Saccharomyces cerevisiae S288C: one gene and its partners. The gene in region 2 interacts genetically with the main gene of each other region. Each region holds a gene or a part of one and is shown on either strand. Other genes may lie near its edges. The genes, in order: DBP3, REX4, RRP1 and SRP40.

Region 1 (5,407 bases), on a different chromosome or scaffold from region 2:
CCTGAAGTAGGTGACTAGATGGAAACATAAAAAAGAACAAGCAAGGATTAAGAGGATGGATATGTTCATGCATATTCTCTCATTTTTACCTCTTCTCCTTTTCATATATGCATGCTATAGAACCATTATCTCTATGAGTTTCATTTTATTTAGTAGTTAGTATTGAACCAAACTACATAAGATGACATATTCTAAATAACCTAAATAATTATTATGTCTTTATTCAAATATTTCTTTTATATCCAAGACAATTTCCCTCTCATCTCCTTTGTATTACTGATTATATTCAGCCATTCAAAAAGTTAAAAAAGAACGTTTTTCACTGAAAAGTCGCAGCTATATTATAGTAAAATAATAAGAGAGGCAAAATAATGGTTACCAACACTTAGTGAAGAACAATGGTGACCGGAATATCGGAGGAAAATGATGATGAAGAGACTTTTTCGGCTGTTCATTCTTCAACACCCAGTATTAATTCTCAATCCTACGCGATTCCTATAACAGAGGAAATGTCCAGCTCTTTCCATGATTCGATCAGCACCACTAGCAACTCAAGTGGTAGCTTCGATAGTGATGGAAGTAACGTTTCAGATGTTGTGGAGCAAAATGAAATGGACAATGAATCTAACGTTGACGAAGATTTGTTCCTAGATAACGATATCCCTCAGTCAAGCAATTTGCTACCCACGGATGCCCAGGATCCTGGTCCAATATTTGACGTTTCTAGATATATTTTTGATTCTCTAAAACAATCTATTGATTCTGCTGATTTCTCAGAGGCACTTTCTCTACAGACCAAAACCTCCGCTGTTATAAATTCGAAAAGCCTAGAGCTTAAACAATATATTGATGAAATGAAGAGCAGGCTCACTCAACTGCAAGAGAAGTTTGAAAATGGTGAGGCTACTTCAAAAAAAATAAAACGTGATTTAGAAACTTCAAGAAAGAACATCGACTATTTAAACGCTGCTTTGCGTGTCGATTTCCCCATAGAGTTTAATCAGGCAAGAGAAAAAATTCTTGAGCGCAGATTGAATGAAGACCATGACTGCTGATATACTGAATCGTATTTTTTTTCTAGAAAATATGTATACTATGTGAGAGTCAATTTAAATAATATTAATGATAAATGAAAGTGGGCAGTTATAATAGTAATATACAGTGTTTTGTTAATAAATCTCCGACTCTCGATTGGCTATTATTAGAGAAGAAAATCCAAGATTGAAGTAAACGAAAAAACCCCTAATCGAAAGTAATTTTTTTTGGTTTCTTAGTCAAATCGACGTCCTTAAAGAATGAACCATAAGCGCTATGTTCCTTCTTCTTAGTGTGAGTACCGAACTTTATCAAATCTTCAGGAACAGGTTGATTGGCACCATTCAAAACGTTAACCAGTCCACCAGCCAAATGCTTTTCTTGTTCAGTGAACAGAGTGTGTGCTGTGCCTGTTTGACCAGCTCTACCAGTTCTACCGATTCTATGGACATAATCCTCCACAGTCAATGGGAAAGTTAAATTAATAACTGTCTTAACATTTGGTATATCTAAACCTCTTGCTGCAACGTCGGTGGCCAGTAACAAGTTAGACTTCCCGCTTTTGAACTCATTCAATGCTTGCGTTCTTTGTTGCTGGGACAAATCACCATGGATAGCTGCGACGTTATACCCGTTATATTTCAAATTCCTTTCAACACGAGCAGCTTCCTTCTTATAAAGAGCAAAAATCAAGACCTTTTCATTCTTTTTTGGACCAGAGTGGTACTTTTTCAACAGTTCCAATAACTTTCTTTCTTTTCCACGTGGGTCCACCACTTCAACAATCTGTGTAATTCTTTTGTTAGCAGTTAGTTGGTCCGTGTTACCAATAGATACTTTGATTGGGTTGTTCATGAACGTGGAAGCTAATTCACGGACTTCCTTTGGCCAGGTAGCGGTAAACATTAGAGTTTGTCTTTTGGACGCATCAGTTTCTCTGATAATATTCTTGATGTCTTCTTCAAAACCTTTTTCCAACATTCTGTCTGCCTCGTCTAATACTAAGTAATTAACTTGAGATAAGTCAACAGATCCTTCCTGCAATAGGTCTAATAATCTACCAGGTGTAGCAACCACCACTTGTGACTTTTTTAACTGAATTCTTTGCTCATCCTTTGGAACACCACCATAAACACAACAACACTGCATACCAACCTTGTCAGTTAATACAATCAGATTATCATAAATTTGGGAAGCAAGTTCTCTAGTTGGGGAAATGACTAGAACCTGTATGCCCCTTTTCTTTTGATCGTTCATTAAATGGCTGATAGCTGGAACACCGAAAGCAAATGTTTTACCAGAACCGGTCTCAGCAACACCAACAACATCTTTACCAGATAACAAATATGGCCAGGCTACGGCTTGAATAGGCGTTGGTTTTGGAAATTTGGAAATTTCTGCTTGAATGGAAGAGTCTAAAGAAAGATAATCAAATGATAATAGCGGACGTAGGGCTAGATCCAGAGAATCCTCAACAGCAATTTCATTTTCCTTGAAATATTCGTCAATATCAGATTGTGGAAGACTGGTTAGTGCTTCACTCTGAACATAAAACTCACTAGCCACTGCAGAAGTAGGTTCAGGTTTCTTTTCAGATTCTTTCTCTGGTACTTCCACTTCCTTCTCACCCTTCTTCTCCTTCTTATGCTTTTTATGCTTTTTATCCTTCTTTTCCTTCTTGTCTTTCTTATCCTTTTTGTGTTTCTTACTCTTCTTTTTTTCAATTACCTCCTCATCTACAACCTTTCTCTTCTTGTCTGCGATTTCTTCCTTTGTCATTTTAATCCCCTATATATCAAACTGTTAATACTTATGCTTTCGTTAAAAGGCTGTAAAATGAAGTTAAGCTATATCTCTGAGCTGCTATATTGTTGCCTATCTATTATTAATATTTTTTTTTTATTTGCTTCTTATGCGATGAGGTGAAAAATTTTTCATCTTTTTCCCGCAAAAATATTTCAAGAAATTTGAATTACAGTCACATCGCTTTCAAGAGCGCAAAGCCTGAGGGATATTTAGGTTGAAATATCTTAGTCCCTCGTCTAAAATGGCTTAACAAACCATTAAAAAAAATTCACTTTTATTACTTCTATGCAAATAATATACTTAAAATAAATAACGGTCGACTGATCAACACTATAAATTCACTTCTTTCCCCACGGTACGTGTTCATTTTCGAGTTCAACGTCAGAGGCCGCAACGGAAAATTCTCGACTATCTTCAATGGTATCGAAGTTATTACTATATTCAGCCTGTTCGTTCTCAGATTCTTCTAAAGCGTGGAATTCCTTCTTACCCTTGTATTTCCAGTAAAGAATCGAATACGCAGTATAACCAACAATAACTACACAAACATAGTTCATGTTATCCTTTGTCACAGGTAAAACTGGTGGAAAGGAAAAAAAGACCACAGAAAAGACAGTCCAACCCAAAAGAACAATGTTTGAAAAAAATCCAAATTTTCCAAGCCAGAATGGACCATGAGCTATGTTACGCTTTTTAGCAAGTAAACATATAACCGGAATGATGTAGGATAACAATAAAAATGCAATACAACCTGTAATTAAGGACTGAAAAGCCGTACTGGAAGCCAAATAAAGTAGGCCAATGAGGGTTATCCAAGCGCATGACATTAAATGAGCGTTCAAAGGTACACCAGTGTGTGGGTTAACTTGCGACCATAAACGGGATAATGGAAGACCATTGTCCCTGGCAAATGACCAACATAACCTTGCCTGCCAAGTGTGACAAGCAATGACGCAACCAAAAGAGGTAAATAGAATCAAGCAACCCAGGAAAATCGCACCTGATTTATTACCCAATGCCTGATTATAAATGTCCAAGATTGGGGCGCCTGTTGTAGAAGACAAGACAGCGTCCAGATCTTGTATAGAGAAGAACATAGCGATAACATAACAAAAGGAAGTGACAAACCCAATGGCGACTGTTCCCATGATAGCAATGGGAATAACTCTTTCTGGTTTTTCAACTTCAAACGCCATATGGGTTGCACAGTCAAGGCACGAAAATGACCAAGCTGGGTTAATCAAACCGACAATAAAGGCGATACCGCCGTTCTTCCAACCTGTTTCATTATTAAATGTGGCAAAAACAAACTTTGCATCGTTGAACTTTCCATGAGAACATGCCAATACAGTAATTGTAATTGTGAAAAAGGATAGTAGGGAAATGTATAGAGAGGAAGATGAAATGATAGGTAAGGATTTACCGTAACAGTTGAAAAACATCAAGAACAAATGCAACAATTCAAAGCAAACGAATATATGCCATCTCTTTGGGATGAATTCAGGGTGCGTCAGAGCGTACATACCAACCACTTCGGTAGCAACGGATAACGTAGTTGAAGCACTTGTGAACACGGATCCTGCGTAAGCAAATGAACCGCACATGTAGGCCGCAAATCTTTTGTACTTAGGAGGGGCAAGCTTCAAAGACCACCAAAACTGACCACCGGCGTGCGGATATGCGGAAGATAATTCACCCAACGAGGTACCAATGCAAATAGAAATCAGGGCAACAATAATTATACCGTAAACAATCATCATGGGTCCACCAGAAGATATACCTGCAACCATCGATGTAGAAATACCGAACCAGGAATTAGTCAAACCGAATCCAACACCAAGAATTGACCACAACGAAAATGACTTTCTTAGATGAACTTCACCATCTGCTGCTACAGCACCCTTGCTATCCATATCATCCAATGGCTTTATTTCCTCCTCAACTCTTAAGTCTCTTTTGTGCATAGAAGCGTTCGAAGATTGATCCGGCTGCATATAGCCACCGGAAGCATTATCATTCCGAATACTCATCGTTCTTCAAAATACTAATTTCTGAGTAAATGAGCCAGTTAACACTGAAAGATATTCTTTCTATGGAAGTTCGAAGATATTATAATTTTTCTTTATGCAAGCTATATATGATAAGCACAGACACCTTCTTTCCAATTGTTGGTATTCAAGGCTTTTATAAATAAGTTGGCTAACTTTCGTTGAAATATCGGCAGTTTAGAGAAGTCAAGGCCGCTTATCTTCAGTTTTCATTTTTTTTTTTTTCGTTATATAGGTTCTGCGCATGTGAAAAAAAAGAGAAGAAAATAAAGCCAATTATAAGTCATTACTGACGAAATTATAAGATAAATTAGAGGTACAATATACAAACTAGTGAATAACAGAACTATATAGGACTTAGATAAAATAAGTAGTTATATGTAATGTGACTTCAACCAGTTTAGTTCATGGACTTAACCAATTTGTTGATGAATTCTTCACGGTTACCGAAAGAACCACCTTGGATAAAGTGCTTGAACTTTCTTGGGACACCCCAACCACCAGATGGGTTGGACAAC
Region 2 (3,101 bases):
TGGAATGAGAGGGTATAGTATTAGTTTGCATGTCTGAATCAAGAGACATTTCACCGCTCTCCATGGTTGACGAGTCGTTATTAGAATAACGTTCTTCGGAATATTCAGATCCTAAAAGGGACTTCCCATATGATGAGCCAGGAGTGATTCGGTCACGATTTTGTGCATTGAATTCATTGCTATTACTGCGGCTGTCTTTTGAATCCCTGTTCATGACCGCCGTTCCATCATTTGTAGATTCATGTCCTCCCAAATCAGATACTGTTTTGTTTATGTTTGAGGTCACTGTATCAAAATTCAAATCATCTAAATCTTTTTCATTGATATAAGATTCCATATCGGAAATATTGTTGCTTTCCGTTTCCGTCAAACCGTCCCTACTCACCGATCCGTTACCGCTGGCGCTGCTTCCATCTCCATGTATACCTTTATTGGCATTCAGTGAATCAGATTTTTGTCCATCATTTTTATTGTCAGTTAAAAAAATTTTCCCCTTTTGACTTGTGGGGAAATGAGATTTTAACCTTGAAGCACTTCCTATATTGCCATTTGAACTCTCTCGATCATCAAGAATGCTGATGCTGTTTCTGTTATTTGTGTAGGTGTTGTTTTTATTGTTGGACATGCCGTTGATGCCTTTGTGGGCTGGACTTGCTCCAGAACCCTTAGCATCAAAATCATCATCTAACTGAAAAAATTGAGAGTGTATATCGTCACCTTCTTCGTCATCGTCGTCGTCATCATCTTCTTCTTCTAAGTTTTCATCGAAATCGAAGTTCATATCGAATTTACTGCCTTTCTTATTATGGCGAGCACCAGGTGGATGCAAAGTAGATGATTTTGCTCTTGTATTAGTTGTATTCATGACATTTTTATTTCCAGAAGTATTTGAGTGGTCCCTTCGACTTTTGAATATCCTCACGAAAGGAAGCGACGATCTCTTACTAGATTTCTTCTGCATTTCCATCGAACTATTTAAATATGAGTCTTCCTTTGAGGAAGTTTTGTGATGTTTTCCACTGGTATGGTCGTCATCATTTAAAAGAGAGTTCGACGCAGATGAATTAAGTGGATTATAACGAAGTGTTCCATTTTCTTCAACTATCAGAGTATTTTTTGCACTTTTATCTTGCAAATTTCGTGTTTCTTCCTCGTCTCTTTCAGTCTTCTCTGCTCCTATTAAATTCTGGTTAGCCTTTCCTTTTTGGCCTTCATTCTCCCTCATTATCCTCATTTTCCCTAATGAAGCATAGTTTTCCATAAAATCCTTAGATACCGGTGGAGACTCTAGTTCAGGTAACAAGCTTACGCCGTCTGAGTTCATATATAATTCACGGATAGAAGAATCTAAGCACTGCTCTGTGTTGAATTCATCTACGGGTATGTACGGTTTTATTATTCTTTTCATTTGATCTTTCTCCGGACACACTCGTAGAAACTGAGCCCGCAGTTCATTTAATACCGTCACCGTGTCCATTATCGTCTTATTATGGTGTGGTGGGGGTTTTACAAACACTGTTTTATTTAGTTTTCCTGTTCAGTAGCCTGTATCTATTGAGAATTATTATACCGTATATTTTTTGACGCGGGCTGATATGTAAGGTCGGCTAAAAAAAAGAAAAATTTCAAAAGTTAAACTAACCTCATCGCAACCACAATCCATTTAAAGCCTGGTTCTAGAGGCTTCATAGACGTTTACAGATTTAATAAAGTAGATAGCGTACAGTTTTAATGGCTCTCTCTTCAAACTGGCAGGCACTATTAGCCTCCGAAAGCAATCCTACCTCCAATGGAAAGAATAAGCAATCAAATAGGAAAATCAGAAACGTTAAGAAAGTTAGCAAAACAGTAAATGTCAGTAGTACAACCCAATATGCCCCTCGAAAGCGCAAAAACGGCAGTAAAATTATGGACATGGTATATAACATGAACAAGGAGATTAGTAAGCATGAGAAAGACAAGCTCGAGGGAAAAGTGTTTGAATTCAACCCAAATAAAGCAAATACTAGTACTACTATTAAAGAGCCAGTAAAAGTGGGTATTTCGGAAGATACTCGTATTAATAGTAATAAGAGTAAAGAAATTGGGAAATACATCGCCATGGATTGTGAATTTGTAGGCGTTGGTCCCGAGGGTAAAGAGTCTGCGTTAGCTAGAATATCAATCGTAAATTATTTTGGACATGTCGTCCTCGATGAATTTGTTAAGCCAAGAGAGAAAGTTGTAGAATGGAGAACTTGGGTTAGTGGTATTAAACCAGAGCATATGAAAAATGCCATTACATTCAAAGAAGCTCAAAAAAAGACTGCGGATATTCTGGAAGGTAGAATTCTTGTAGGGCACGCTTTAAAGCATGATCTCGAAGCATTGATGTTATCCCACCCAAAGTCACTACTCAGGGACACTTCAAGACACCTCCCATTCAGGAAGTTGTATGCTAAGGGTAAAACACCCAGCTTAAAGAAATTAACCAGGGAGGTTTTAAAAATTTCCATTCAAGAAGGTGAGCATTCTTCAGTCGAAGATGCTCGTGCCACCATGCTATTATATAAAAAGGAAAAAACGGAATTTGAAAAAATTCACAGAAACACTTTCAACTAAGACGGTAGATGAATGGCCCCTTTTATTCTTACAATTAAAATGCATTGGTATGTACATTAGTCTATGTGGCGCTTGAATTTACTGAGCCATTCATTACACGATAGAATATATAAAAATTGTAGCTGTATAAAAGCAACCCACGTAACAAATTGCGAAAAATTAGCGATAAGAAAACCCTAACATGAGATATGTACATTCATGCTTACAGATAGATATTGATATTTCTTTCATTAGTTTATGTAACACCTCTAAGCAGAACATGACATCCTTGATAAAATCATTGTCATTATTCTCTTACGTTCATAGATATCTTCAGGTTTTACATCTAAAGGTATCATCATGTCGGAGTTCTTCGCAAATATACCAGAAGAAGTCACAATCGATAAACCTCTTTTGGTTAGACGTTCAATGGATTCTTCGTGAAGTTTTTCTAACGAATTAGACTCTGAATGCGTCACTAATAAGTTTAAAATATCGAAAGCAAGTGGAACACAATCCGA
Region 3 (2,995 bases), on a different chromosome or scaffold from region 2:
GGCGTAACCAATGATACCGACTGCAATAAAACCAATACCAACAGCCTTGACAATCTTGGTGTATTCCTTCAAATCAGGTTTCTTACACTTGGCCAAGAATTGAGTACCTTCTCTGACAAATTCTACAGGTGCTTCAACCAGCTTTTCAACCTGGTTGTTGCTCTGCTTTTTCTCTTCACCTTTTTCACTAGCTCTAGCCATTTTATTTTTCAATGTTATACGTGATTTTATCTTTGGTAAACTAGCGTAGTGCGGACAATGGACACGAGTTATGGACAATACACGCCAATCTGTACTATTTTCCTTGTTTAATTTAATCACTAGTATTCTTTCATTTCAAAACGAAAAAAAAATAAAAAAAATGTTGCGAGGAAAAAAAGGCGACGTGTTTCGCATTCCGCCAATATCCACAGAGGGTAATGAATTTTTCGTACTATAGATATACAACTACAATTTATATGAGCGACTTACGATTACTTACATACTACCGCCAGGAAGAATCAAAATCCCTTCCACTCTTCCTCTTCCTCTTCTTCAGATTCGTTACTGGAATCATTATGTTGCGTTTCGCCTTCAAGAATATCCCAGGAAACAAGTCTGGTGTCACTGAATAGGTCTTCTTTGATCTTCTCTCTCAACACCTTACTGTTATTGTAATCTGCCACGATATCTTGGAAAATTGCGATAACATCGGCTAGTGGCGTTTTTTTTGCGCTCTCTGCAATTTTGCGCATCTCTTCCTCTTTGTTTTCCTCGTCTTCATCGTCTTCATCTCCATCTTTAAGCAATCTTTCCCATTCGTCCAGCAGAATATCGACGATATGAATTGGAATCCCTGTGTAGACCTTTGGACTTCCACTCAGAGGTAACCACCTCAACACTTTCTTAATATACTCGTCGACTAATTTTTTGTCCCAGTTTCTGGACTGCAAATACTTCAATTGACTGAATAATACCCTTCTTATCAATAGAAGATACTTATCCAACCTATATCTGTCAATGTTAAACCATTCAAAGCACATGACCTTCCAAAACCCTCTGCTAAACTTTATAAATGCTTTATCGTTTGTGGTCAACTCATCTGCAGTGCTATTGTCCTTAGGATCAAAATATAATCCATGCAATTCACCTAATTCATTGGCTAAACGTTGCTGAGGTCTAGGACGGTCACTGAACCACATTGCATAGTAAAGACCCTTCCAAAGTTTATTGAATTCTATTTGTTTGTTCTCCTTGAACTGTTTAGCGGTTAGATATTTCTTTAACGCTTCGAGTGCATTTACCCTGGTTTTTCTGTTGTTCGACGATAATTGTTTAACAAAGTTGGAGGTCTCCATTGTGAATGTTCTCACTCGATTTTTTAAGTGTCTATTTAGTGTATTATGCCGTGAATGCGCAAGATATATACGTATACTTAAGAATGTAGTTTATATTTGACAATTTTTTTCAGCTCATCGCATTTTTTTTTCTAAATTCTTTACCTCTCGTGCTCCGTGACTAGGATATTGGAAATTCAAATGATATAACTTAACCATATAAATCTTTTAAGTGGTTCCGTTGTTCCTCAGATTGCTTTGTACCATCTACTTTCCTAGCTTCCAGATCTCCAATGCTGACAATCTTGGGCTGCTTGGTTTCTTCTTGTTCCCGTTTTTTCTTCAGATATTCATATTTAGTAGGATTGGCGACTAAAACATGTTGTACTTTTTCCTTATCCTCAATTTCATCACGTATACCCATTTCCTTAGCGTGAGATCTAGCAAACTGGTTCAATTCGTTTAATTTTAGGCCTTCACCTGTCAAATGTCTGCGGAACATTTTTGATTTTTCATCAACTGCGCCCAGTGTTTCAGTTTTGTACAATCTTGATTTAGGATCATAATTACTCTCCGTTGAATTTATGTCGTTCAAGTAAGCAGCCTTATCTTCTCTCAATCTCGTTGATGTCCTATACAACTGAGAATTATCAGCATCATCTTTCTTCAATGAACCTACGGAATCCTTGTAAAGTTCTAACTTCATTAGTTCTATCTCTTCATCTGTATCCCATAGTGTTTCATCAGTTTGGGATTTGTCTTTTCCTTTTATTTTATTTCTTTTATCACGCTCCCACTTACTTATCAGTTCATTGTATTCTTTCCCTGAGTAACCGTACCATCTATCTTTTCTGGAGTCCCAGTCATCATCAGTAGCTCGTACTAAAACTGTGCCATTATTTTTTTGTGAATTTAAATCGGGAACAAGCTTCTGCATCTTACGAGGTTTTTCCATGCAGTCTTTCTCCTTATGCCCTGCTTCCCCACAATTCCTACAAAATGACAGCGAATGAGAATCTCGGACGGACATCTTCTGGGGTCTGATTAGTTTGAACTCATCCTTTATACCCATACCAATTTTTGGTTCTGAATTATTGTCAATATCTAAAGCACCCCCTTTTGCTTTTTGCCTATGATGCACCAAGTAGTCGCTTTTTTCTCCTCCTTCTGCAGTGCTCGTATCATCATTGCCGGGCTTCTTCCCTTCTTGTTCTTTGGGGGTATCCTTATAGTACCATGGTTGATTTCTAATATACCTGGGGATATGAATATTTTCATTTTTTTCTTTTGCTTGTTGTAGTTGCCTTTTATTTCTGTTAATAGTGCTTCGATTTTCGTTGTTTCTGCTGTTATTATTCATTATGTAATCCGATCGTTGTATTTCAGTGTAACTGGTATCTTTTTCAGAAGTGCTCGATAAATGATATACGCAGACTTGATTATTGATTTACTTGAAAGGCAAGCTATTCAATAGATAACGAAGGAGTTATCGTTATGGGTACTATTATTGTCTTTCCGCGTTCGAACTAGTCACTAGTTGTTCCAATGAAATGTACTTTAAAAAAACTCGACAACTTCTCCAATTAAATTGAAGAGTACGGCAGCTGAGGTTACCAACTCTTTTCTATATTTTAATTGTCACTAGGTATAAAAATCAAAAGTCTAGAAAAATGTATAAA
Region 4 (5,289 bases), on a different chromosome or scaffold from region 2:
AACTGCAGCATAAGCGCAACATAACAGATCTGAGAGAAGAAATTGATAATTCCAAATCTAATGACTCTCATGTATTACCTAACGGCGGCACTACGAGATACAGCTCTGATGCAGATTATAAAGAAACGGAGCCCATTGAGTTTAAATATCCGCCTGGGGAGGGACCTTGCAGAGCATGCGGCTTGGAAGTCACAGGGAAAAGAATGTTTTCCAAAAAGGAAAACGAACTGTCGGGTCAATGGCATCGTGAATGTTTTAAATGCATTGAATGTGGTATCAAATTCAATAAACATGTTCCCTGTTATATTCTAGGCGATGAACCATATTGTCAAAAGCACTATCACGAGGAGAATCACAGTATTTGTAAGGTTTGTTCAAATTTCATAGAGGGTGAATGTCTGGAAAATGATAAGGTGGAACGATTCCACGTGGATTGTCTAAACTGTTTCTTATGCAAGACTGCCATTACTAATGATTATTATATATTCAATGGGGAAATTCCATTGTGCGGTAATCACGACATGGAAGCTCTCTTGAAGGAAGGTATCGACAATGCTACATCAAGCAATGATAAGAACAATACTCTCTCTAAAAGGAGAACGAGGCTCATCAACTTCAACTAGCATCACTACCCATTTGTCTTTCCTAGCACACATGTTTCATAACATTCTTAATAAGATTTTGATTTTTTATATTATTAGCCAGCCTTGTTCATTTATAAATTGTATAGCGCAGGAAAAAGGCATCTGCCTATCTATGGTATCAACAACATTAGTCGTCATTAGTTAGTTAGTTATAAAGACATCATTCACTCATATTCACTACGTTGTCTTCTTCTCAACAACTACCTCTAACTGTTTTTTTACGCGTCATTTAATTGTAGCGAATTTCTATTTTTGGACATTCTCGTACCGGTGCATTAAAGGCTAAAAGCTAAAAAGGGAACAGGAGCCTAAGAATAGAGAATAAGGAAATTTATTTAAGGAAAGGCTAAGCAATGAAATGTTTCGTTATTTTATTGTATTTTCAAGAGGATGGAAGAAGAACCTGAGCACAAACGGATAAATAATAGACGAATATAATGTTTCTTAAGACACCTAATTGGGAAACGGTAAATGAGACTCCCAAATCGAGAGTCTTAACGATAAACGAATTGATCTCTCCCAACCTGGATACTGAATCTAACAGCCTTCTGGCGACGCCGGCAAGGAAATATTTCAAAACTTCAATAAGTGAAGCGCAAGATTCTCCTACATCTGCCCCTTCGCCCGATGGCAATGAGGATCCCACATATCAATACAACGTACAATTTCATTTTCCAGGACCAATAACACCTACAACACCCAGGTCTAAGAATGCAGAAATGTTTCCATCCCCCACGCCCCCATTGGTTTCTCCCACAGCGGTTATCGAGGAAGAGAATGACGATTCCGTACGGGAGTTTTCACGCACGCTAAAATCAAGACTCAACTGCGCAATGGTTAAGCTATCAAAGGAACATGAGCAAGTAGCTTTGATTCCTCCACCTCCGACGGAAAAGATACGAAAGGGCTCTTATAGTAATAAATTTGCCGCTAAGCATAGGCGCTGTCACTCGTTAGATGAATCCAAAAAGTTTCTGAGTTCTCTGGAAGATTCATCCGCTCATGCAGCGTTCTTGAAGGCAATTTCGTCCAAACATGCCAAAAGCAATAGGGTAGACAACGTTAACGTTTCGCCGTTACGTTGGTCATCTCATAGAAGAACGCAAAGTACACAGGAGAATTCTTTACAAGAAGTTGTTGCTATCGATACATTATTGAAGATGTCCTCATCGGACTGAACTAATGATTCGGGTTTCGCATATATACATGGCTTTGGCTACTTTTAGGTTTATAGTTCTTGCTGTTTATATCACTAATATTTAGTATATAGCTGCGAAGAAAGAAAAAGAAAATATTCACCTCTAGGAGCCAAAAACATAAAAAAAAAAATAATTAAAAAAAACTTTTATTGAATGCTTAATTATTTAGTGACGCGATTACCTATATACCAGGTTATTTATTTTTTCTTTTTTCAAAGGAAAACAATACAAAATATTACTGTTACCATTTTTGTTACTATTATTATTGTCTTTATTACTATTATTTTTCTATCGTTGCTATAATTACAATTTGTTTACTCTACAACTTAAAAGGAGATTACTCCAGACAACGAGTTTTGTTTTATGTTTCCTATTCTTTTAATCTTGGAATTTGTATGAACCACTTTCTAATGTAATGGATCCACCTCTGTAAGAACCTCTCTTCATTTTATTTTTGTTCTTCGTGAAATCTTTACCTCTTACTCTACCTAATTTTTCATTTGCCTTTTCACCCCATGTTCCAGCCGCGCCTTTGTAGGTGTTGTCTGTCAACTCCCAAGCTTCGAAATTAATCTTCGATCTATCTACTCTGGAAAAATGCTTTCTTTGGCCCTCTTTGATCTCGTCGGTTCCAGCAGGAATGTTCAATTTATTGGCGCTTGATGAACTGGAAGCAGATGGAGTTGATTCGTTAGATGAGGCAGGCGTTTCTTCGGCCTTGGATTCGTCTGCAGTTGCTTCTTTTGTTTCCAATTCAGAGCTAGAACCAGAGTCTGAGTCGGAATCCGAATCGGAGGAATCAGAAGATGTAGATTCGTCGGAACTTGAATCAGACGAGCTTGAAGAATCGGACGAGCCTGAAGAGTCTGAGTCCGAGCTTGAGTCGGAATCCGAATCTGAATCCGAGGAAGAGCTGCTAGAGCTGGAGCTAGAGTCGGAGTCAGATGAAGAGTCGCTGGAGCTGGAGTCGGAGTCAGACGAAGAGTCGCTAGAGCTGGAGCTAGAACTTGATTGAGAATCTGATTCAGAATCTGATTCGGAATCAGAAGAACTACTTGAGCTAGAACTTGAGTCAGAATCAGATTCCGAACCTGATTCTGATTCTGAAGATGACGATGACCCGCTAGAGCTTGACTCCGATGAGGAAGAGCTTTCTGGTTCAGTTTTAGCCTTTTTAGTCTCCTTAGCATCTTCGTTGTCTGATTCTCTTGCTCTTTTCTTGGTTTCATCTTCTGATTCGGATTCCGAAGAAGATTCGTCAGAACTAGAGCTAGAGGAAGAAGAAGATCCACTGGAGCTAGAGTCGGATTCACTAGAAGATTCAGAGTCACTGGAACTTGAGCTTGAGCTAGAAGAAGAAGATGATGATGAGCTAGATTCAGAGTCACTGCTGTCACTGCTGTCACTGCTGCTGCTGCTGCTGCTGCTGCTGCTGCTGCTTGAAGATTCGCCGCTAGAACTGGACGAGGAAGATGAAGAAGAAGAGGAGGAGGAGGAGGAGGAGGAGGAGGAAGAAGAAGAAGAAGATTTCTCTTCAATCTCCTTCTCCTTAACACTTAATTTTGGCACTTCGTCAACTTTAATTTTCTTGGAAGCCATTGCTATGTATTCTTAGTGTACTGCGACTTGGGTTTCTTTCTTGCTTTGTATAAAAGTGCGATGAGTTCAATCATCAAGTGAATTTTTTTTTTTCAGCCTGCATTGAAAAAAAAAAAATTGTATGCTCGAGCGATGGGAAGGTTTTTTCCTCTTCCCGTTCAAAGCTTCCTCGGACCAACTCCACTTTTTCTCGGCCCGTTGTAAAGAAATGGGTAAGAGAACTAAATTGCAATAAGCTTCGAATTATCGTTTTGATCCAGACATAAAGAGATGTACAAACTACAAAACAAGAGTAAAATAACTCGAACGAAGGGTACACCTTCTGTAATAAAACAAATTCACTATAACTGCCTTATTGGAGTGAAAAAACAAGATTATGTAGACCCCCTCTCGCGATAAAGAACATTAATGACTGCAACACCCGCACACCACAAGGTGAAGGGCAAAGGTGAATTAACCAAAGTGAAGAGGACGACGTAGAATCAACCAGGTATCCTTGATAAGGGGAGGAGTAAGAAAAAAGTGTGTCGAACGTAAATTTATGTGTCTAATGAAAGTATCTTCACACTAAGATTATAATTCTCCTTGGCAAAACAAAATGACACCTTTGTCCTGTTTTCGTTATCTACTTTTTTTTGTGTCAGATGTCATTTTGGTCTCCTACGCATCCACTACATCCTTGTCACAATTTGTTATCAGTAACCAACTTAGATGACTTGCACCAGCGCCACATCTTCGAAAGCGTTGAAACAAACTACGTAAACAAACAAAAAGTCAACATCCTGTAGATGTGGCTGCAAAACCACAGAATCCTCGTGTGGGAGAAAATATTGATAGGACCAGAGCGAACTTTTTTGATACAGACGTAGGAGGTAGCCGTTACCGCATTAGTATACTATATGCGTACGGCCGCCAAGAGCCCAAGAAAGAGACACAAAACTACGTGGGATAAGCTTGGGGTAACGCAATCAGTATTGTTCATTTTTTTTCCCGGAAAAGCTAAGAGTTTTCTGGCGAGATAAGATAACGGCGCCGAAGGCAGCGGCGAACTGACTTACCTCCGTCGGCTCCGGCGTACGGCACCAAAAAATCCCGCAATAACTTGACACCAATGGGCTAACGGCGTCCGCAGAACCGTGACGCAATCTGCGGTTTGTGTCAAGACAGAGAAGTGGGCTGCTTCTCCCCTTTCAACACTCCCCTCCCATGGCTGAATACTCAGACGTTTTCTGTGGTGGAAATGGCATCAAAAGTGCCACTGGCTGGCGAATCCAGACTATTTTGTGTCAAAGAAACATGCGTACCTGCACAATAAAAAGAAAAGGCCCGCCCTACTGACATCCTGTTCAGGATCCTCGAAGAACAGGAAAAAGGACAACCGTCCTTTTCACTTCACGTTCGCAGGGCTTTCCTCGATATAATGGCGATTACACAAGCGGTGGCGTCTTGAAAAAAGTTGGGTTTCTTATCTGTACGGCGATCACTCCCCTCATATGATAGCTGTGTAGAGTGACTTGCTCTTTGATTGGCCTTACTTCTTGCATCTATCATCCTTTCTTTTACTCTCTCCAATCACCACAACTCATATCATTCTACATTTCATTTTATTGTTCTGTACAATTTTTAGGTTTGTAAAATATATAAGTGATGTACATATCTTCTATATCCTTTCCGTTTGTGTCTATTTTAGGGTTGGCTTATTACGCATTATTCCTACTTTATTTTTACTTGCTTACTTGAAAAAGAAGGTATACCACAGTGCTGCTCCACTGCAAACAATATAAAATATTATCAATTATTTTTTTTTTTCTTCTTTTGAATTAGATCACTAATAAACTCTTATAATG

What was found.
Region 1: mutations in REX4 (region 2) and DBP3 together harm fitness more than expected from each alone (negative genetic interaction), as found in Saccharomyces cerevisiae (3 studies listed by BioGRID).
Region 3: mutations in REX4 (region 2) and RRP1 together harm fitness more than expected from each alone (negative genetic interaction), as found in Saccharomyces cerevisiae (2 studies listed by BioGRID).
Region 4: mutations in REX4 (region 2) and SRP40 together harm fitness more than expected from each alone (negative genetic interaction), as found in Saccharomyces cerevisiae (2 studies listed by BioGRID).

Annotation. Positions count from the first base shown.
Region 1 is NC_001139.9:359,046-364,452, forward strand, and holds DBP3 (RNA-dependent ATPase DBP3), read right to left. Parts: upstream 2,815-5,407; coding exon 1,243-2,814; downstream 1-1,242. Other genes in the region: KXD1 (Kxd1p), read left to right, coding at 399-1,055; HNM1 (Hnm1p), read right to left, coding at 3,180-4,871; 60S ribosomal protein uL30 RPL7A, read right to left, coding at 5,290-5,407. UniProt on the Saccharomyces cerevisiae protein: ATP-dependent RNA helicase required for 60S ribosomal subunit synthesis. Involved in efficient pre-rRNA processing, predominantly at site A3, which is necessary for the normal formation of 25S and 5.8S rRNAs.
Region 2 is NC_001147.6:180,058-183,158, reverse strand, and holds REX4 (putative 3'-5' exonuclease), read left to right. Parts: upstream 1-1,731; coding exon 1,732-2,601; downstream 2,602-3,101. Other genes in the region: AVO1 (Avo1p), read right to left, coding at 1-1,477; Ras GTPase activating protein IRA2, read right to left, coding at 2,850-3,101. UniProt on the Saccharomyces cerevisiae protein: Exoribonuclease involved in ribosome biosynthesis. Involved in the processing of ITS1, the internal transcribed spacer localized between the 18S and 5.8S rRNAs.
Region 3 is NC_001136.10:616,970-619,964, forward strand, and holds RRP1 (Rrp1p), read right to left. Parts: upstream 1,338-2,995; coding exon 501-1,337; downstream 1-500. Other genes in the region: translocon subunit SSS1, read right to left, coding at 1-201; mRNA splicing protein SLU7, read right to left, coding at 1,528-2,676. UniProt on the Saccharomyces cerevisiae protein: Required for 27S rRNA processing to 25S and 5.8S.
Region 4 is NC_001143.9:610,444-615,732, forward strand, and holds SRP40 (Srp40p), read right to left. Parts: upstream 3,443-5,289; coding exon 2,222-3,442; downstream 1-2,221. Other genes in the region: PXL1 (Pxl1p), read left to right, coding at 1-623; DNA-binding protein SRL3, read left to right, coding at 1,082-1,822; PTR2 (Ptr2p), read left to right, coding at 5,287-5,289. UniProt on the Saccharomyces cerevisiae protein: Not known; weak suppressor of a mutant of the subunit AC40 of DNA dependent RNA polymerase I and III.